Linked DNA regions of Notamacropus eugenii. The protein of the gene in region 2 purifies or fractionates together with the protein of the main gene of each other region. This does not show direct contact. Links are inferred from orthologs where the notes say so. Each region holds a gene or a part of one and is shown on either strand. Other genes may lie near its edges.

What was found.
Region 1: the proteins of PDGFRB (region 2) and FYN purify together in Homo sapiens (pull-down; 3 studies listed by IntAct, with this or other methods). This does not show direct contact. The link is inferred for Notamacropus eugenii from reciprocal best matches to the Homo sapiens genes PDGFRB and FYN.
Region 3: the proteins of PDGFRB (region 2) and RASA1 purify together in Homo sapiens (co-immunoprecipitation; 5 studies listed by BioGRID and IntAct, with this or other methods). This does not show direct contact. The link is inferred for Notamacropus eugenii from reciprocal best matches to the Homo sapiens genes PDGFRB and RASA1.

The regions. Positions count from the first base shown.
Region 1 is NC_092873.1:192,204,918-192,212,714, forward strand, and holds the start of FYN (tyrosine-protein kinase Fyn), read right to left. Parts: upstream 3,103-7,797; 5' UTR 2,694-3,102; intron 1-2,693. UniProt on the Homo sapiens protein: Non-receptor tyrosine-protein kinase that plays a role in many biological processes including regulation of cell growth and survival, cell adhesion, integrin-mediated signaling, cytoskeletal remodeling, cell motility, immune response and axon guidance.
Region 2 is NC_092872.1:377,727,996-377,735,521, forward strand, and holds the start of PDGFRB (platelet-derived growth factor receptor beta), read right to left. Parts: upstream 3,071-7,526; 5' UTR 2,501-3,070; intron 770-2,500; exon of another isoform or gene 647-769; intron 1-646. UniProt on the Homo sapiens protein: Tyrosine-protein kinase that acts as a cell-surface receptor for homodimeric PDGFB and PDGFD and for heterodimers formed by PDGFA and PDGFB, and plays an essential role in the regulation of embryonic development, cell proliferation, survival, differentiation, chemotaxis and migration.
Region 3 is NC_092875.1:454,108,853-454,115,999, forward strand, and holds the start of RASA1 (ras GTPase-activating protein 1), read right to left. Parts: upstream 3,065-7,147; 5' UTR 2,568-3,064; coding exon 2,098-2,567; intron 1-2,097. UniProt on the Homo sapiens protein: Inhibitory regulator of the Ras-cyclic AMP pathway. Stimulates the GTPase of normal but not oncogenic Ras p21; this stimulation may be further increased in the presence of NCK1.

The DNA.
Region 1 (7,797 bases), on a different chromosome or scaffold from region 2:
CTAAAAATGTTCAAAGAAAGTAATAGAAATGCTATAATGAGCAGCTTCAGAATCCAAAGCATGGGGGTTTTGTTCAAATTCAATTTTGTCCATGAAGCCACTTTTGGTTAGACAACAGAGTTTAAGCTTAAAGCGCATTGACTGCCCTTCTAGAGTCTAAAAACAAACCATCCTTTGTTTTCAGAAGTAACCCCGTTAACCACATTACTTTTTCCAAATAAAAAGTTCTTACAATGAAAGGCTTCTAAAATTCAAATATGCACGGATGGGATCTCAATTCTAACAAAGCTTTTATTTAAAAAAAAAAAAAGTATTCTTTCAGAATTAACTTGGGAGACATTGCCCCACATTTGTATTGGTTTGGTACCAGACTCTTAATACTCAAGTTTAGCCATTATGGAATTGGCATACAATGCACCCAACTTTACATTTCTTCCTAGAGCAAGAGTATCTGTTTCTGTATCTGTATCTGTATCTGTATCTGTATCTGTATCTGTATCTGTATCTGTATCTCTCTCTCTCTCTCTCTCTCTCTCTCTCTCTCTCTCTCACACACACACACACACACACACACACACACACACACACACACACACACACACACACACATGCTGTGACATTCTTCCCTTTCTTTTTTATCATATACTGCCCATGGTTTCTTTCTCAGAATAATGTTATTAAATATATAAAATAAAACCTATTGAATTACAAAGAAAATCAATTATTTTGAAATAGTTGTCAAAATATAAAAAAAAAAAGTTCACAGATTAAGGACCTCTTTCCTAGAGAGTGTCATGAGAGAGATGGTTTAGGGTTCTGACAGAAGATACATAGAAACTTCTATAGGTTGCAGCCAGTCTTGCCTCCAAGTTTTAGATATTTAACAAAACCACTTCCTCTGAGAGTTTCTGAACCCAACAATCTTCACCTGAATACTGGGGATACATGGGGCAGGATCTAGGGGTGAAAGGGTTAGAACACAAAGAGTAGAAAATACACAAGTAGTGAGAGGAAGGATGTGGGAGTAAAGAAGGCTAGACAGAGGCAGGAAAGGGACAAGGTTTCCAGAAGTATTTCCAGAGGCACTCAAGTCTTGTTGCCTTCATAATGGTTCTGAGTACTTAAATACAAAGCGACACCAACATCGACAGAGAAAACATAAAAAAGAGATTCCATAACAAAAGTCTCTGCTTATACTTGATTGGAAAGAAATGAAGTCTTTCTGGAGGCTCAGTTCTCTCTCACTCAGTTCCCTCCCCTATCACTAAGAAATGGATCAACCCATTAATATCATTCTCTGATTCATGAGTAAACTACTCCTTCAACACACCAACATAGCCCTAACTCCAGGCCCCTAGCACCCTCCCCACAAAACGGAGTCAGGAAAGAAGCCATCTAACGCTGAAAGGAAACTTCTCTAAGCTGCTGAAACCTTTAAACACACACACACACACACACACACACACACACACACACACACACACACACACACACACACCAATAACAACCATGAGAAAATAGTCCACTTCCAAATCCCCTACAGTTCCTGGGACGTTATTAAATGCCCACAAATGGGCATTTGGTGCCCTTTATCTTTCCCCCAAATGTGGCAGGAAAGGGGATGTGAGAGAGAAGATCTCCTGCCTCCTGTGGAAAGAGAAAGGGAAGCCCCAGGGAAAAGAAACAAGCAGGAAACCCCACCATTCTTGGGTATTTTGTGTGTCTCTTCTCTAGGAACTGAAAGGACCCTTTGTGTGACACACACACACACACACACACACACACACACACACACACACACACACACACACACACACACAGCCTGTGAGATTGATTTGAGGGAAAGAAAAGGGAGGATACTTTTATCATGCCCCCCTCCCTTCCTCCCTTCCTTTTTTGCAGTTAGTCACAGCAAATAAACGCCCTGCGAGGAGTCTTAGTTGCCTCTTTCTGGCTCACTACCCTCAGCCTGTGGGCTTAAAGATAAGAGAAAGGAGGAGACAAAAACCAGCAAATGATCTGGGGAAGTAGAGAGGAAACGCAGGGGGGCTGAGGGGAAGGTGGCGAGGGGTAAGAGGGTGAGGCTGAGGGGGGAGGAGAAAAAGCCTGAGGGGAGCAGAAGGAGAGGCGGAAGAGGGCGGGAAGCCAAAGGAAAGGGAAATTGGGGGAAGGGAAAGAAGGTGGGGGAAGTCGCTTAGGGAGGTGATGGAAGCCCGCAGGAGGATGGGCATGGGAAATCGTCAGCTACAGGGACCGCGAGAGGATGGAGAGGTGGAGGGGGAGCAGCAGGGGGCCAAGCCCCGGCTTACTGGGAATCATCAATTATTAAATGATTACATCATCCCTGTCATTAGAGCAACCCACGCCGCCAGGGTCCCCCGGGGTGGGGGCGGGGGGCTCCACCAGCTCAGCAGGGGCGGAACCCGCTTCTCCCTCCCGAGCCCGAGCCCAGCTCCAGTCCAGTCCTTCCCGGGGTGGGGAAGGAGCTGGGGTCGGGGGTCCGCCGCGCCGGGGCAGTGCAGGGAAGCCCGCGCCGCGCGCCTGTCAGGTCCGGAGAATGCTGGCGAGCCGCAGCGGCCGCGCGGCGCCCGACCCCGCGGCCGGAGATGCGGGGGTCCGGAGGAGGAGCCGGTGCCGGCGGCTGCGGCGGCCGCTGCAGCATCCTCTCCCCCGCCCACCCCCGCCCCGCTTACCTGAGGCTCCCAGCCCCATTCACATGGTCTTCTCCCGGCGCTCCTCTGCGGGCTCCCGGGGAGGCAGGCAGGCGACCCTTCCGAGGGGGCGGGCGCAGGAGGAGCAGGAGAAGCGGGAGGAGGACAGCGCCAGGGTCTCTCCCCCCCCAGCCCCGGCGGCCGGCTCCCTCCGGGTACCAGCTGCCGCTCTGGGAGGCGGCGGCTTCGGTGCGGGCGCTCCGCAAGCCACCCCCACCACCCCGGGAGCTAAGCGCTGCGCCGCCCCGGCTGGCAAGGGAAGGAGGGGGCTCTAAGGGGCCGTGGCCTCCCCTCTCCTCGCGCGGCTGCTCCTCTGCACAGCGAGCCTTGAGCCTTCCTCCTTCTCCCTCTCCTCCTCCTCCTCCTCCTTCTCCTCCACCCTCTCCTTCTTCTCCTTCTCCCTCTCCTCCTCCTCTTCCTCCTTCTCCTCCCCCTCCTCCCTGGCCCGCTCCTGACAGATGGCGCAACTGCAACTACGCCGCGGCTGCTCTCCCGGCTGGGCTACTCCCCCTGATGCTCCGGCCCCTCCAGCTTGGGGAAGGGAGAGAAAGAAAAAAGGGAGGGGAAGGGCGGAGAAAGGGGGAGGGCCGCATCTTGAGAGCGGCAGGCCCTGCAAGCCTATCACCGGAGGCCTAGCCCCCAAGAGCGGCCGTCATTGGACCCGGCCGCGGGGGCGGGGGCGGGAGTGGGCGGGCCCGGGAGCTGGTGGTGTGCTTCAGGGTGTCAGCGGGCATCCCGATGGGGACAAGGAGGATTTGAGTTCGCGGAGTGGGCTGTGTGAGCAGTAAGGCTTATGGAGAATTTTTTTTTTTTAGCAAAAAATTGAGGAGTGGGTAAAGTGTGCTGCGTCCAGTTCAGTCTTTAAGGGTTACGAGTCTTTCTCTTTTGGTTCTTCAACACTCCTTTCAGTACAGTTTTAGCATTTCCCCATCCCCTGCCACCCTTAAAACCATGGAAACCTGTTTAACAAAGTAGCGGCTTGCCCTCCTGGTGTTACAGTGTTTCAGGGGTGGGAGGACAAGGTTATAAAGTGTTAGGGTGCTCAGCGAAGCGTTCTGAGAGCTGTGTGCTCCCTACACAGTCTGAAGAAGGTGTGTGTGTGTGTGGGGGGGTACTCTCCCCAAGATAGAAATTGGGGAAATCTATATAAAAGAAAAAGATTCAAAGGTTTTTTTTTTTTCTAGAAAGGATTCCTCCCACCCCCAAAGTGGTCAAGCCTGGTGGTGATTAGATTAGAGCTGCGTGGAAAGAAGAGATATTCAAGTGTGTGCATACCATAATGATAGGGTAGAAGCTTATGTTTGCACATTTTTTCAAAATCATGTGTAATAGTAGCCGGGGATTGTCTCTCCAAATGTTGTCTTTGGTTTCGGGTGACATTCAAGCTTCCCACTCCTTTGCCCTCCGATGCATGTTCTGTAGTTAAAAAAAAATTTTTTTTTTTTTGGTGGATGGGATACACCATTTGGGGGATAAATCAGTCTATTTCCTGTCATCCAACTTTTGTATGATGAGATATATCTACATGAAAAGTAAAATTTTGCCTTCCTGATTTTCTTTATAATTGATTTCTCTTTATCTGAGAGTTTCACTTTGAGGCTTAACTAAAATTCGTTCATTTAATAATAACAAATTGCACTTAATGCTTTGTGCAAGGAAACCCCTCTCCGCTCCAAATAAGCTTTAATTCTAATGGCATAACTCAGAGAGAAAGGAATGCATCTCAGTTATTACTGTCTGCCTTCTCTGGCACAGATTTGATGGGTTTACAATAGAGTAAGGAGGACCTACTCATAGTTTTAGAGTTGTAAGGGGCTTAAGGGACCCTATTCTTCAGTCCTCTCTTTTTACAGATGAGAGAACCAAGGCTAAGAAAAGATTAGTGACTTGCCCAAGGTCACCAAGTAAGTAAATGGCAGAGGTCCTCTGACTCCAAAGCCACTGCACCACACTGACTAATATTTGTATAAAGACAAATCAGAACATAATAACATTGCCATAGAACACTGTTTCATTTGGTCCCCTTAAAAATACCTACAAGAAGAAAAAGAAGACTCTGATACACTGTCTTAGAGAAGATATTGACATTTATCCAAAGGATAAGCAGGGATCCTTTTGAAAATACTTCAAGTACCTCAAATTTCTCAGCTAGCTACTGTTAATTTTCTCTGTCTATGGGTTGTTCCCACTTGTTCTACAAGTCTGTCTTTTAAAAATGAAACATGGACAGTCTACCAGCACCATGCCAGGAAACTGAATCTCTTCCATTTGAACTGTCTTAGGAAAATTCTGAGGATTACCTGGCAGGGTAAGGTACCAGACACTGAAGTCCTTGCTCAAGCTGAACTGACAAGTATTCAAATTATGCTTCAGAGAGTGAGCTCTGATGGGCTGGGCATGTTGGTCGAATGCAAAATGTACACTTGCCCAAAAGACTATTTTATGGAGAACTTGTATGGGGCAGGCGATCACATGGTAGCCAGAAGAAGTGATACAAGGACACTGTCAAGGTCTCTCTCAAGAACTTTGGATTTGACTGTGCAACATGGGAGACACTGGCACAGGACCACTCAGCATAGCATGCCCACATCAGAAAGGTTGCTGTGCTCTATGAGCAAAGCAGAATTGAAATAGCACAAAGTAAACATAGGATGTACAAATTTGGAATATCCACCCCAAATATTCATACAGACTATCTGTGCCCAGCCTGTGGTAGAGCATTCCAAGCTCATATTGGTCTGATCAGCCACAGTCTGACACACTGAAATTTCACTTTATTATGGTGATGTTATTTTGATCCTCTTCGAGAATGAAGGACAATAACCAATCAACCAAGAGATCATACAGTCATAGCTTTAAAGCTGATTTTAGAGATCATCTGATCAAATCCCTTCATTTTACAGATGAGGAAACTGAGTCTCAGAGATTTTAAGTCCTTTTCCAAAGGTTACCTAGGTAATAAGTCAGATTCCAGTCCTTTGACTGTTAAGTCAACATTTTGTTTCATACCACACTGAATATGCCATCCAAAGTACCTATTGACAAGCTGCCATCAAGAGGGCATTCTGTCTTATTTCCTTTAACACCTTAAAAATCCTATTTACTGCCTTCCTCAAAAGTATTTGGATTCTTCTTGAGTGTTTTAGGTGGTTCAGATGAGTGGATCAAATACTGAAGGAACTCTGGATTATTTTATTAGTGGAGAAATGTCATTAAAGATGATGCATTATCATCTTCTTTACTGCTGTTTCTTAGGAACAATAGGACCTTTCCATTGACTTGCAGTTAAAGCCTCCTTTGTGTGTTGTCAAACCCAGGTAGAATGTTGAATTCTTTGAGAGGAGGTACTGTGTTTTCTATTTGTATTGCTACTCCTTAGCACAATTCTTTGAGCACAGGTCTGACCATGTCACCATCCCATTTGATAAATTTAGTGGGCTCCCTATTATCTCCAGGATCAAATAAAAAATTCTGCTTGGCTTTGAAAGTCCTTCAGAACCTGGTCCTTTCCTCTCTTTCCAGTCTACCTTACTCCCATGTACTCTGATATCCAATAACACTGGCTTCCTTCCTAATTTACTTCTTTCGCAAGCCTTCCTCTCATCTCTAGACTCCACTCATTTTTACTATCCAGAATTGTATCCCTTCTTTTCTCAGTATTCTGACTTCCTTCAGGTCTAAGCTCAAATCTAACCTTACGCAAGAAGTCTTTCCAGATCCTCCTTAATGCTAGTGCCTTCCCTTTGGGGTTGTCTTCAATTTATCCTTTACATACCTTGTTTTATACATGTTGTCCAATCTCGTCTGACCTTTCCTGATTCCATTTAGGGTTTTCTTGGCAAAGACACTGGAGTGGTTTGCAATTTCCTTTTCCAATGAATCTGTTTTGTCTGGCAATCAGAGAATAAGTGATTTGCCCAGAGTCACACAGCTAGGAAGTATCTGAGGCTGGATTTGAACTCAGGTCTTCCTGACTCCAGGCCCAGAGCTCTATCCACAGAGCTACCAACTGCCTCTATTTTGTATAGTTATTTGCGTGTTTTCTCTTGAATTAGATTATGATCTTCTTGAGAACAAAGACTGTCTTTTGCCTTTCTTTGTATCCTCAGCCCTTAGTAGAATGCCATGCACATAGCAGGTGTTTAATAAATGATTATTGAAATTGTGGATGACTATTTTCAGCAATACAATGATCCAAGACAACTCCAAAAGACCCAAGATAAAAAATGCTATTTGCCTCCAGAGAAATAACTGATGGTGTCTGAATATAGGCTAAAACATACCGTTTTTCTCTTTCCTTCTTTCTTTTGTTCCTTCCTTCCTTTCTTCCTTTTCACAAAATGACTAATATGGAAATAGGTTTTATGTGATTGCACATGTATAACCTGTATCAGATTGCTTACCATCTCAGGGAGAGAAGAAGGGAGGGAGGGACAGAATTTAGAATGTCAAAACTTTTAAAAAGCCATTTTAATTGTTTTTATATATAATTGGGGGAAACAAAATATGATTTAAAAATAAGTAATTGTTGACTTAACTAGTAAATTCTCAATAAGTTCCTTTATTCATTTATGTGAATTCATTTATTCATTCATTATGCTATAGAAAATCATGAAAGACTGGATTTCTGTCTCATATTTTCATCTAGTTTTACCCTGGACAAAAATGTTGCTCATTCTCATAACTGTGTTATGAAGAAGATAAAGTAGGAATATGGGTGAGTAGTTCCCGATGCCCTCTTGATCACTTTTTTGAGGTGGTAATTCTGTCCATTCTTTTTGGCATCTTCCCCTCCCTAATAAAACTTACTAAATGATCCCTCAAGGCCCTCAAAGTTGTGCAGCCTCCAATATGGATTTTGATGATTTGGACAGGTCCAGTTAACCTTCCTAACTTCATCTTCTAAAGTACCATTCCTACTTCCTAATTTAGCCATTACTGATTTTTAAAGACTTCAAAGTACCATCTATGAATCTAAGGTAATTTTATTAATTAACACTCTAATAAGTCAATGACTAAAAATTTCTGTATGGAATGTTTTTCTCTCTGTGTGTCAAATGCTTTGCTAGTATGGCACCCAGTATGT
Region 2 (7,526 bases):
TCCGGCAATAGCACTAAATGAATCTGGAAAAGTAGAGTGGCACCTGATTATGGAGGGCCCTGAATGATGAGATAAGAAATTTGAACTTAGTAGGCAAGAGGAGGCCACAGAAAGAACCTAAAAATACAACAGGTGGTGGTGTTGTTCAGTCCTGTCCAACTCTTTGTGATCCAATTTGGGGTTCTCTTGGTAAAGATAATGGAACAGTTTGCCATTTCCTTCTCTAGCTCATTTTACAGATGAGGAAACTGAGGCAAACAGGATAAAGTGACTTGCCCAGGGTCACATGGTTCATAAGTGTCTGAGGCCAGATTTGAACTTAGAAAGAGAAATCTTTCCTGATTTTCACCCTGGTGCTCTAGCCACTGTGCCACTGAGGGTCAGTAGTGAGGAAGTACTATCATATCACCAAGCATCTACATCACATGACACTTTTTTCAAAAAGTTGACGGTGCGGGAGAGGAGAGATGTTAGAAAGTAACTAGAGGGAGTAAAATGGTCACTGGAACACTCTTTTGTTTAAGGTATGGGGAGATCAACACGGAGGCCCATTGGAAAGAGCTCCTGGAGAAGGAGACTGGAGAGGCATGAGAAAAGGGATGATAAGAAGCAAGAGAGAAGAATCAGGAGGGGATGATGTACTCACAAGAGTCCAGCTAGAAGGCCAGCCTTAGCTCAGGCTGAGGCAGGTTGCTGCTGCTGCTGCATTTTAAGGGACAAAGGAAGGTCCTGGGGGGTTCACTTCAGATGGTTTCTATCTCAGTGAAGTAGCAGTTTAGGTCATCTGCTGATAAGTGTGGAGTTGAGGCTGCCATGGGGGACGTTAGGAAAAAGTGAAAGATCTGGAACAGTTACTGTGGGGACGAGCTATTTGATCAGTTCTTAGCTTCCCTAACTGTGCTACTATCTAGCCTACTCTATCTAATCACTCTAAACACATTCCACAAGAGAATGAGAGACCATAGTAAATGTCTCGCTGAAATCCAGGTCTGCTATGTATAGGGTATGGCCTTGTCAAAGCAAATGAGGTTAGTCTGGCATGACTTATTCTTTATGAACCCATGCTGGCTCATAGTAATCACTGCTTTCTTTTCCAAGTACTCACAAAACATCACTTTAATAATGCATTCTGTCAGAAGAGGATGAGGACCTAGGCTGGATAGTGACTGTGGGAGTGAAGAAGAGATAAATTAGAGAAATATTTCTAAAGACTGGACAGGATGAAGCAATGCCCTGGTTTGCACAAACTTATACACCAATTATCCTACAGCTACCTAGAAAAACTATCATTGACTGAGGGGCTGGATCTGTCAGGGTCCTCCTATCACCCTTGACCCCTCTTAGCTTAGGCCCTTCCCTTAGAAAAAGGCAGAGAGGTCTGAGAGATCAATGCTTTCCTTAGGAGGTCTCCTATTGTTCCCTCCCCCTCTGTATCCCCACCCCCCACACTCTGGAGCCCTAGCTCCATTCATAGGCTGCCCAAGCTCAGTTCCTGTCCCCTCCTCTCCTCCCCGCTTACCCCTCCACCCCTAACAGCATAAGGAGAGCTACAACAAACTGACAGTTTCCCATCAGCTGGGGGTTTGGAAGGACATCTTAGGAATCTGGAAAATTTGCAAAGCCCTTTAAATCCCCGGGGCTTCGATGGCCCTAGGGACTGGCCTGAAGCCAAATCCTTTCTGGGAAAACGGCTGCAGACTCATGGCTGAGGCTGAAGGTCTCCCCTCTCCAACCCTGGTCCCCAATCTTCTGTTTGCTGATCCTGATGCCTCATTCCCTATTTTATAGCGCCATCTCACACTCATTCCCTCATTCCCTAGTCCCTTGTCCTAACCGCCAACCCCCCCCATCTGTTCCCCACCTTCCCCCACAACTTTTGTCCTCTATCTCCAGTCTGATCCACTTAAGTACGAACCACTCCACCCCCTTCAGCGCCACTTTTCTCTGAGTCCCCTCCCTTCATGGTTTGTCTCTCCTCATAATCCTTCCTCCCCTCACAACCCCTTGCCCTCAATATCTCCCCACCCTTAGTAGCCTTCATCCTTAAAGTCCCCCTCCCACTCTGCCCATTCTCTGGCCCCTCAAGCCACCCCTACCCCCCCAGGCCCCGCCCCCTAGCTCTGGCAAACAGACCCTCCGCTGTTAAGATACTGAGCCAGGAGAATGGAGCCCAGAAAACCCAGTGGTTTTGTGTGAATGAGGGCTGGAATGGAGGGGGGCGGGGTGCTAGCTCTTGGGGCACAGGGTAGAAAAGGGAGAAAAGAGGGGCCCGTCTGGTGGGCATGATTGCGGAAGGTCCAACTGAGCATGGGGATGGCAAAGGATATTCAACTCTTTTGCAAACTGACATCTCCCAACTCTGCTCTGAGCTTCTCCCATCTGGTTTCGCTAAAAATATTTTCCATTTTCAACTTGACCAAAGTGTGGCTGAGACATGACAAAGGGGCCCTGAAAGTGGGGTGAGGTGGGGGCAGAGAGTGTTGGGGGCCCAGGCACCTACCTTATTGCCTTGGTCTTCTCTTGACTTTGCCTTGTTTGCTGCCTGCTCACAAACAGCCTACTTTTGCGGAGTCCCCAGATGCTGCCCCTTCCTCGTCTGTCTCCAAACTCACCTCCCTTGGCCCCCGTGGATGGAGCTCCAGGAGGCAGGAGTGACTGGAGAACAGGGGGAGCAGTTGGTCCAAGGACCAGCAGCAGGAGGGACAGAGACAGTTCTAGAGCATCCTTATGGGAATCTCCAGACTCAGGAGGGCCTTTCTAGTTTGGTCTTTCTGTATGTTTGCCCCTCTGAGGGATTGAGATCAAGGACAGTTAGAAGGCAAAGGAAGAGGTAAGCCCTCCTGGTCCACTCTCTGCTTACAAAGTTTTCTCTTGGTTTCCCCTTGTCTCTTGGCCTGCTGGGCGAGGAAGATGGATAGCGGCTAGGTTCAGGGTACCCAGGCCTCAGGCAGAGGTGGAAGCAGTAAGAGGCTGAGACAACTCTGAGTGAGAGAGAAAGCTCTGTCTCCTACAACTTGGGGGGAAAGGCCGAAGAGGTCCCTTTGATTGGTCTCTTTGAGTGAGAGAGGGTGTGTGAGAGGGAGGGAGGGAGGGAGGGAGGCAGGCAGGCAGGCAGGGAGCGTGAGAGGGAGGGAGAGAGAGGAGTGTGTGTGTGCGTGTGTCTGTTTTCAATTTGGTCTTTTTCCCCTGAGTTTCTTGTTTTTCTTTCTGTTTTCCCTTCACTCTCTGCCTTCTCCCTCTTTCTCAGGATATGAGGGGATGTTTAGAAATTCCACAGCCCACGCCAGCAGCTGAGTCATTTGTATTAAGAGAGGCCAGCCCATTCTGCCCAGGGTGGTGACTCCCCTCCCCTCTCCTCTCCCCAGACTGGGCAATAGGGTCTGGGGGCTCTGCTGCTGACGGTAAGGTAGGGTCATAGATTGGCAATCTGTCGATCACCTGGCAATCGTGGCAGGGATTGTGCTAGGTAGAGGGATCTCAGGCAGTGCCCGCCTGTGTACCTCTGGGAGAGGGTCCCCAGGAAAGAAGGGAAAACAGGAGATCATGCTTTACAGTGTTGTGGGGTAACCTGTTACTCCCCAATCTTTGGGTCTCATTCTCTCCATCTGCAAAATGAATGGATTGAGCTAAGATGGTTTGGAAGGGTCCTGTCGGCTCGGCCATTCTAAGTTCCATCCAGTTCTCACATTCTCTGCTCTACGTTCCCTTCTAGTTCTGAAATTCTAGGTCCTATATTCTATGATTGTATTCAAGGACAGAGTGTACATGGCAGGAATGGCAGAGAGGGCAAGGCCTTCCTGCCTCCTTTGAAACTGGGGACTCGGGGTATCTCCAGGGAGGGGAGGGGATGGCTGAGGGAAGCAGAGCTGTAGCCTGGCTTCTGGTCATGATCAACCACAGGTTGGTCCAGCACATCTGGAGTCACTTAGCCCCAGCAGTCATTAACCCTTTGCGGCCTCCACTGCTGGTGTGCCCATTGCTTGGACAGTACAACCTGATCTTACTCCCCAACCCCATGAATCTCTAAGCATAAGACTAGTCCTCTGTATGCAGGCACTAGTTGGTCAGACGGTGAGGTGGGAAGTAGTGAGGAAACAGTGAACTATGGCATAGGATTCAGGTCCTTCAGACCTAGGAATTTTGGATGAAAGGAAGAGTTTAGAATTTGAGCCAATTTTGTGGGATGCAAAGTAGGTGACATATCCCGTCAGTCTCAGAGATGTCCGAGAAATCCTCAGAGATGGAGAAGATTCCAAACAAGTGAGAGAGGGGAGCAGACACCTTAATAGCTGGAAGAGAAAGGATGTGATTGTTTTGGTCATAGAAAAGGAAAGAGACAGTGTGGTAAAATGGAAAGAACATTACTAGATATTTAGTCCTGGCCCTGCTCTTAACCTTACTATGTGACCATAGGCGAAGGCTAGCAGCCACCAAGTAGTGCAATGCTTAGAACATTTCCTGGCTTGCAGACAGGAAGACCTGAGTATGAGTCCATATTTAGTAGCTGTGTGACCCAGGTCAAGTCACTTAACCTATCCCTCGCTCAGTTTCTTCATTTACAAAACACATTATTAACAACATTTTCTCCATAGGTTTGTTGTGAGAATCAAATGAGATTATACATTAGATAAATGCTAGCTATTATAAATCATTTCCCTTCTTTGGGTCCCTATTTCCTCATCTCTAAAATGAGGCATTTGAAAATAATGTTATTTCTAAGGCTCCTTCCAGCTCTATCATATGATATGAATGACTACTGATTAGGGATGTTTTTGAAAGGATTTATATTTCAGATGTGTTCTCACTTAAGGGACCTCTGAGATACCTTCAAGTTTTGAGATGATGTGATTTTGTGTCCCAGACAACAGTTTTGGCCACTAAAGCCAGACTTCCAAAAAGTCTAGCACCCCCCTCTGCTGGCTACCTCGATAACTCTCAGGGAGGGAGGGTCCCATGAGATAGTGCTCACTGCCACAAAGACCCCTCCCTATTCCTCTTTCAGTATGGGTTCCACATAGAGACCTTTACAGTCAATGAAGCTCTAGAGGAATGTCCTGCTGCAATGCTCTAAATGCCCAAATAAGATCCAACAGATGAAGCTCTCTTCCTGGTATCAGACTGGGATGTCAGAGATGCTTCCATTCCAGCCATGGGCCAGACATCAACAGGGATTGGCTTCCATGGGAGAAATTTGTGGGAAAAGAAGCAAGAGTAAGACGACTTGGAAGGCATTTTGAAGGGCTATGGGATTGTGAAGAAAGTTTGACTTTACAAGGTGGAAATTTAGAAAGACTTGAAGAGAGGTTGAAGGAAGAGAAGGACTCAGGCAAAGGGAAGAGATGATAGAGTTGAGCTGAAGGTGGAGAAAGTCAAGAAGTCAAAGACAAGCTGAAGAACAAGGAGGAGGAGGAAGAAGGTAATTGGTAGGGCAAGGTTAGTGTTACAACTTGGTTCAGACCAGGAGGGAAGGGGAGAAAGTTTAATGTAGGTGTCAAGGTGCTAACAAGGTTCTAATGAGGTGAGGAGAGAGAGAAGTTTAGAGTTAAAGACCCTCAGAAGACTTTGCTACTGAAGCTCTCTGAAGGAGTTACCAGCAAAAAGACAAATACTGGGGATCGTCACTTCCAGTCAATATGGTGAACAGGGGAACATTTGTAGTGACTTGCATTGAGAGCCATGTCTATATTTCTGTCTCAACCAAATGATTGCTATCTCTGTCCAAGGTCTAGGCTACTTTCACTTCTGGAATACAGGGTAAAAAGGCATAAAGAGTGCCGCTCCACTCTATGGGTCCTCAAAGATAGTACTATCCCTTAAAAAAAATAACAGAAATTGAAATTAAACACACAAAGCAATGTCAAAAGTAAAGGAAATGCAGAACCTAAAGAAACTGGGATGGTAGGAAGTTGGAGCGTAGAAGAAGATCACACAGAAGAGAGAGGGAAGATCCACCAAATATTTGGAATAAATGGATTAGGAAAACATTTCTAAAAAGTGGATAAGACAAAATGAAGCCTGGTTTGCACAAGCTTAAGACTTCTTTAAGACTTACTGGTGCAGCTAGGTGGTTCAGTGTCTAGAGTACCAGGCAAAGAGTAAGGAAACTCTGGGTTCAAAACCAGATTTAGTCATTTACTAGCTGTGTGACCCTGGGGAAGTCACTTAACCATTGTCCACCTCAGTTTCTGCATCTGTGCAATGAAATAATAATAACACCTATCTCCCAGGGTTGTCATAAAAATAAAACAAAATATTTGTAGAAGTCCTTTGCAAATCTTAAAGTGTTCTACGAATACTAGCTAGCTAAATCCTATGAATTTTTTGAGGAAGAGGGAGAGGTCTACCTGAAGAGGAAGCAGCTGCTAGTCCTCCAGGGAATGACAACATGGGAGTGTGTGTATAAAAGCTATCAAATGAAAGATCATCCAGTAAGGGTCAGTGGAAGATGGGACAAAAAGTGGCTGGTGATTCCCTTCATCAGAGTCACCTGTCAACCTAATAACAATAATAGAGAGATCTCCTGTCTTCCTAACACATATATCCAAGACTTGACAGGGACTCTCCCAAAGTTTGCCATTCCACATGCTTACTACCCACTCCTAATAATTCACAAGATTAGAAATTATATCACCATAAGGTACCTAGAAATTATTCCTCAAGATTACAAAATCATGGACAACACTGAAGACCTAAGAGGCACAGGTGAGTTCTTCCTTCCTTCCTCCCTCCCTCCCTCCTTCCCTTCCTTCTTTCCTTCTTCCCTCCATCCCTCCTTTCCTTTTTTCTTCCCTCCCTCCCTCTCTCTCTTTCTTTCTTTCCTTCTCTCTTCATTGCTGCTCACAGAAGGCAAGAACTTTAGCGTTTGGCAGACTGGGGTAGTGAACAACTGGTTAAGAAGGTGGTATTCAAGAATGAGAACTGAATTTCTGTCCAGCCATATAAAATATGAAAATGATTGAGCACCTAACATAGGTTAATAACACCATATTTGTATGCAGTCTAGCAAATCTAATGAAAAGAAATTTAAATGAACCAACAAGGAGGAAAGTACATATATCTACCAGCATAGATAGATAGATAGTAGTTACAGTACAAGTAGAAAAACAGATGTAGACATTTTCAGAAATTCATAGGAGACAAAAATCCCCAAAAGGAGCCAGTAACAAAACCCCATTGCTTTCATTGGCTATACATAAATACACAAAGTGTAGGTTAAAAAAAATGATTAACTAAACACCCTAATTCAAAGAGGCATATGTGATCTTATAGTTACTACTGAGATGCGGGACGATGAGACCTATGTCTATAATAATACACTGGATAGGCATATTTTATTCTAAAGAAACAGGATAGGCAAAGATGAAGGTGAAGGAGAAGGATGAGACAGTAGCATCATATCTTAAGACATAGTTCTGTGAGGAAATCTAGGAACCAGAGCAAAGAATCATGGTCCAGAACAGTTTGCTGAAGATGAAGGAAGAAACAGAAATAATGTTAATATCTGAGTACACTATAGATCACCTGGA
Region 3 (7,147 bases), on a different chromosome or scaffold from region 2:
TCATTTGTGGTTTTAAGCACAAAAAAGTTAAATCCGGTGAGAAGTCTAAATATTAATGTAGACAGCAATATTTTACATAAGAGCTGCTTGGTTTTCCCTTCCAATGGGGTACAGCTACAAAAATATCTTTTTATCTCAAAGGAGGTCCCACACCCTGACCAGGTCAGAGGCATGAACGACAATAGCATAATAAGCTAAGATTCCAGCTCATTATTCTATTTTACTAAATCAACTACAGACTATATTAAAACATGGCTTATTTCAGAAATAGTAAGACTTACACAAACAAAATAACATCTGACCAATAAATATCTGAGCACCTACCTCAACTGTAAAGAAAGCATTTTGTAAATCTTAAAATGCTGTATAAGTGCAGGCTATTATTACAAGTTCACATTTTTGTTTTTAAAGTAAAAATTTTGCCAAACGTTAGTGTTATTAAAATTCTCACAAGAAGTGAGCTCATTTCTTGAAACTATTTACCATGTGAATTTTTAGCAAGTTCCTATCATTCTACAAAATTATTAGCCTATCTTAAAAACAATGCTTAATGTCGCTACAATCTGACACATAGTTAAGAAAATTAATACAACTTTCATAATATTTTCAAAAACAGCCCCCAAATAACCTATTTTTACAACACTCAGTGAGGACTGCAAAAATCTCTGAGGGAATAGATGATGTTCAAAAGAGTGTAAATTTTCTTCCAGAGACTCAGCATCATTTAACTATTGCCTTTTCAAATTATACATATTCATGACAAAAAAATAGTCCTTTGCAAACTCAGTTTTCTACTGTTAATTTTCATCTCTTAGTATGTTTGGGCTGTTAAGACTACTAAAGATATGAAACTGACAACTTAAATCTATGGTGATCCAGCAGACTAGTCATACAGTACAAAAAACACTTCTTATTTTTGATAAAAAATGGTAAACATTATATTCGGACAGGAAAAAGTTTTTAATTGTAAAAGAAGGTTGAAATTAGGGTTATTATTCCTACCACTCAAATTTGGAACACATACCTGCTATCCTAAAATCATAAAATTTGATCTTAATACTGCACTCTGGACTGGGTCATCAGAAATACAACTTTTTGTCCTGGCTTTATAAATAGAATTTAATTCTATATTTCTGCTCTAAAAATCAGAATGGGCACTGACAAAAAAAGATCAAAAGAATCCTGCTTTACTGTGTTGAGCATTACAGCATATTTTCCTAATTAATTTTAAGAATAATCCACTTAAACTCTTCTAAAGTAGCTTAAAATCAAAATATCGTAAGTCATGTGTTCCAATTATTTCCCTGCACAGATTTTTAACTTAAATCTTTCTGGTTCTGTCACACATTAAGCCTAGTATGATTCAAAGCCTCCATTTAAACTAACAGAGAAGTGTCATAAAAATGTTTAGAATGCCAGGGTTACACTCCTTCTGAAGTTTTCTTCTCTAACCCCAAGTCCCACATCTCTTTAAACTCAGGATCCAAACAGTATCATTTGATGAAGCAATTAAATTAATACTGCTCACTCCATACAGTAGCAGTACCACCCATAAAAACAGATTCTCCTGGGATTGCGAATTTAATTTTCAGGTGATTACTGGAATATTGCAAGCTATCAATACGACGAAAGGAAGCATAAACTTTTCTCCCTTTCTTCCCAATTCAACAAGTACTGTACTGAATGGGTGTCTCAGTAAAAGAACAGTATTTGGGAAGGAAAAAAAGCTGTAATAACTCAAAACTCTGAATCCCCTACCACGAATGGGAGGCACTGCTTCCTGAAATTATTCCTCTTCTCCCAAAACTGCAAAGCCCTTCCCCGCCTCGCTCGCCCACAAGTTTGGGTTGGCACCCTTTCACCCAGGCAGTTGGTCCAGCAGCCCCACTGACCCGCTTCCCACCCGGGGGCCGTGCTGCCCTGCGGGCATCTCCCCAAACTCTGCGCCTTCCCCAAGGGCTCATCCTAAAGGCACCAGGCGCGGGGAGCACGCCCGCAGGGTCCCCCCCAAACGGTCGGTTTCCAGACCAGTCCGGGGGGGCGACCCCTCAGGAAGGACGACCCCGGCCTCCCCCACCCGCCCGGCTCCGGACTCACTGGTTGGTCGGGGGCGCGTTCAGAGGGATGGCCACCTCCTCCTCCTCGTACTCGGGTCCGTCCAGGGAGTCGCCTTCGTCCACGGTCCCCGGGCCCCCGCCTAGGAGGGCGGGCAGCTGCTGCGGCGGCGGCGGCGGCAGAGGCGGGAAGCCCCCCGGGCCGGGGGCGTCGGCGGGCACGGGGGCACCCTTGGAGGGGGCGGCGTCCCCCTGGGGGCCGGCCGCGGCGGCGGGGACCCCTCCCGCCCCAGGCCCGGCTCCCAGAGCCGAGCACAAAGCGGGGCCCCCCAGCCCGGGCGCCGGGCCCGGGCAGGAGGGCACCGGACAGGGCAGGGCCGCAGGGGTCCTGACCCGACACACCGTGGCGCAAGGGCCGGGGTCGGCGGCCGAGGCCGGGCCGCCTCCGCCGCCTCCCGCCCCTGCGGTCGCCGGACCGCCCTCCTCACTCCCGGCCGCCTCGGCCGCCATCATGTTGGAGCCCGCTCGGCCCTGCCCTGCCTGGCCCTGCCCGTCCGGGAGCCCCGGGGGCCACAGGGCCCCGGGTCCTGGCCGCCCCTCCCCGGCGGGCCCCCCCCTCAGCTCCCCGGGCCGCGGAGGAAACAACAACAAAAGGCCGGAGCCCGCCCGCCCTCCGGCCCGAGGAGCCCCTGGGGCTGCAGCCCGGGCGCCCCGGAACGGCCCTGACCGGCTACGGAAAGAGAGGAGGGGAAAAAACACCCGCCCGCGACCCCGGCCCGGCCGAGGCGCGCACACGCCCCCGCGCAGACCGTCCGAAGGCGCGCGCGCACTCGCACTCACACACTCACACACGCACACAAAAGAAAACTTCCCGGCTCGGTAACTAACTAAGGAGCACGGGAAGAAGGGGAAGCGAGCCGGGGCCGCCGCCGCCACCACCGCCACCGCGGCCGCCTCTTCACCGCCCCAGTCCCGGCCACCCCCACCGCAGCAGCCGCCGCCGCCGCTGGCGCTGCTGCCGCTGCCGCCGCGGCTTCATCCTCCACGGGGCCGGAGGAGGAGGGAGGGCCGGGGAGGAGAGGAGGGAGGGAGGGGGTGGGGGCGGGAGACCGCGCGGAGCACAGCCCGAGTCGCGATTCCCGACCTGGAGCTCGCAGTGAGAGGAACTACAGAGAGGAGAAAGGGTGACGGGGAGGGGAGGCCGGAGGGGGAAAGAAAGGGAAGGGGGGAGGAGGGGGAGAAGAAAAAAAAGAAAAGCAGAGGGCCGCTTGTGCGCAGGCGCGCCCTGGGAAAGCTTTGGGCGCGGGGAGAGTCCGGGAGTAGGGCTGATGGAGGAGGAAAAGGAAGGGGCGGGGGAGGAGAGGGAAGGAAGAGGTGGGCGCGCGCGCGTTCGCGGCTCGGCCCCCACTCCTGCCAGCCGGGCGCGTGGCGGGCGGCCACTGAATTGTCCGCCTGGTTCGCGGCGGCGGCGCGCGCGCCTCCAGAGGCATTGTTCAAATGCTCCCGCGGCCCACGAGTCGCTTTGTTCCCAGACTTCCCCTGTGCTCCTCGGCCAGCCCAGCCGCCCGGTCCGGTCCCGGAGCTGGCTGCTGGCTGCTGGCTGGAGGGGGCGGGGACCGGAGAGGATGCGCTCCAGGGGATTCCTGGTTTGGGGATGGGGCGCTCCTAGACTACCCAGCGGGCGTGAAGTGAGCCACACCCAGGGGGTCTCCTGGCGGCCCTCGGAGCGAGCTGTTAAATGGGCTGCCAGACCCTTCCCTCGGGCTCCTAAATACTCTTAATAACCAGAAGCCCAAAAGGAAGAGCTTAGAAGTCCGTCAGTAAATACACATTTATTAGGCACCCACTGTAAGCTAAGCGCTGGTGATGCAGAAAAGTGAAAGGCAGCTCCTGCTGTCGAGGAAGTCACCGTCGAAAGGTGGGAACCATGTACAAATAACTGTACAAATGGGGAAGCCTGCCTTGAATTAAAGAGGATGGGGGAAAGCTGCCCACAGAAGTTTTTAGCTGTAACTTAAAGGAAGTCAGGAGGCGGAAACCGTGCTCTTGGGATAGGATCTGAAAAGATCAAAAAAACATTAAAAAGGTGGAAAGAGCACCCAAGAGAAAACACCCGTTGCCTTTGTGACCTTGGGCAGTAAAATCGCTTAATCTTTTCCTAGCTTCATTGTATCCACACTACCTGACACATTGTATCAGCTTAATAAATGCTTATCGGCTGGTTGACTGACTTAATGCTTTTCTTTCTTAGTCTAGGGTGCTCGGTTTCTTTGTGCCTTTTCTCATCAGGTTAATTAAGACAAGTAACCACGGTGGTCTGATCCAGGGAAGGAAGCAAAATACTTAAAACTAAACTAAAGAACTGATTGTCTTAACCCCTGCCCCAAAGAGTTCTAGGCAGGCACCATTCTATTGAATGTGCCAGGACAGACAATTAGAAGACTGAAAATCGGCAACCTCTGCAAGCTGAAACAGGCCAGAGGAACTAATAGTGAAAGATATCTGTGCATACCACCACCAAAGTTCTCCCATGCCTCATCCTGGCATGGAGAGGGTCTTGAACACTATGCCAGATATCACAAGTTCTAGCAGGTCTTACCACGCTGGAAAGGCTTAGAGTAAGGACCCTATTTGACTGTATGTACTGTGCAAGGACTAGCCTAGCCAATTTTGAGGAAGCTCATCACCTAGTTGGCGTAGGCAAATGAATTTTTCTGCTACAGTCACTAAAGGTACAGGAGGGTTGTGGCATTACTTAGTTGAGGGAAAATTACTTATCCTTAAAGTTTCTTTGCATAACGTTTCTTCCAAATTTTCCAATAAATTCTTGAAAGAAACTTTTAGTCTCTTTATATAGCAAAGGATATTTTTCCATTAGCAGTAAAAGCTAAAAAGAGTAACTCATTGGTAAGAAGGAGTGTGTGCATGGGCAAAATAAGCAGTTGTCTTTTGGTAAGGAGGAGGAATACTTGACCCATCTCCTAGGCTCTGAGAACTAATTGTTAAATTTTCAATGTGAGCAGTCACACTTCAAAAATCATCAAATGCTACACATTGAGTATAATTCATTATTTTGTTAATTTTGTAGAAGAAAATGATAATTATGCAGACTAAATTTAAAAGTGCTTTTTAAAGCACTCCAATTTTTTGAGCCAGTTGTTAAACGTTACCAGAAAGTCTTTATACATCCATCTGAAATTACAACAGCATTTGATTCATTCAAGTGGTTTAAGCTTTACCCTCTACATTCCTTTCTCCCCTTTTTAATGAAAATACCTTTGAGAAAGGTAATATTAAATTCCTAACAGCATAATATGAATTTGTTTTTTAGGTAAATTTCCTTTCTAAATGAAGTAACTGTCAGAAGAATATTGATACCCTGGGGAGAAATGGGGAAAGGACCCAAAGGAGGGAAGGACACAGGAAGGGATGATTGGAGACACTGGAGGAATGGATACTTATTTCATTAGTTTGCCTACAGTACACTTTGTACAAAATAAATCTGGAGCAACTTGACCATGTACCACTGGGGTTGGGGGGGTGGGGCGGGGAAGGAGAGAGAAGGAGAGGAGTGGAGAGGATTAAGGGTGGAGCTATTGAAATTTATTTAGGAATTCATTGAGGGATCTTGACATTCAAACCAGCCAGAATTGACTGGAGAAAAAGATCTGAAAAAAGGAAAGTTTCGCCCAGTAGTATCACAGTAAGGGAGAGAAAGGAGCATATTAGGAAGTACTGAGCTGCTACTTGTAGCTGTGGACCACCTTGGGATACAGGAATTGAGAACAGTGATCAGAGAGTTCCCATCTCTATTACACTTTGAAGGATAAGGAAATACTTCTCACAGCACACACATGTCCCACCTCCCCCAACTTCATAGGGTAGAGTCAGATTTTTTTCCTCCTTGGAGTTCTAGCACTTATAAACAAGGAACCAGAATCTAACACTGCTGCTTTATATTTTTCTATAAATGTTTTCAGATACATTACTACACTGTAAGTAGAAAAGGTTGTCTTTTTTTTTTTATCTTCTACATAATGCCTAGCACACTACTACTGAAGTAATGTGAAACTCAACTAGAAGTGCATACCTCTCATTTGTACATAAAGATCCCTGCAGGCCATGTGTTGACAGTTTAAAATGTAATATTAATCTATATTTTATTGTATTTTGTTTATTTTTAAAATATTTCCCAATTACATTTTAATCTGGTTCTGCTGCTCTCAGGAGTGCTGTGAGCTATGTGTTTTGACACTTTTTCTAGTAGTGACTTCCAGTCCAGATTTAAATTCCTAATATGTATTTGTCTCTTAACAACTGTCTTTTTTCACAGTCTCCTTTATGAGAAACACTGAACAGAACAGTTTATATTTAACCCCTCAAAAATATTTTTGAAAGCTTTACTACATAGATTGTTTCAACAGAAAGGCTTCTGATAACTGCATTTCTTGTTCTGAAAAACATTGCAAAATACATTTTTTTCCTTTGCATGATATTTTTAAATGTATGCTGATGTTTAAGTGAGGCTCCTTCTTCGAAGGATGAGAAGAAATGTCATAAGATAGTTTTTCTTCATCTTTTACTTCTCTTCCAATACGCTTCATGTTCTGAATATTTGGGTTTTTTCTATGATTTTTCACGTGTGTGAAAATATTTTCCTTAGTTGTGTTTATTTCCTTTGTTTCTTGGCTTTTGTTGTTAATTTCCCCTTTTTCTTCTTTTGTCTGTTTTTTTGTTTTTTTTTTACTCAGAAGCTTCTGAATCACTTGGCTTAGATGTAAGTGATGCTGACAGGAGAGTAGAAAACCAGCCGCAAGTCAACAAAGTGACAATATGCAACTGTGTGTCAGTATCTAGTTAGAGAGAGGTGTCCTGGGGTATAGTAAGAGTGGGTGTTAAGTCTGTTCTTTTATAACATCTGTTAAAACAATCTGTTAATGAAATTCAGAGACAATATTACATAGGGAGGTGCTAAGAAATAAAACAAACCATCCAGAGGAAATTGTAGGAGAGAAATTGCAAAATGAGATTAAAATGTTTAAGTGAATAATTTGCCATATTATATACATACACCAGACGTTGTTTAATGAAAA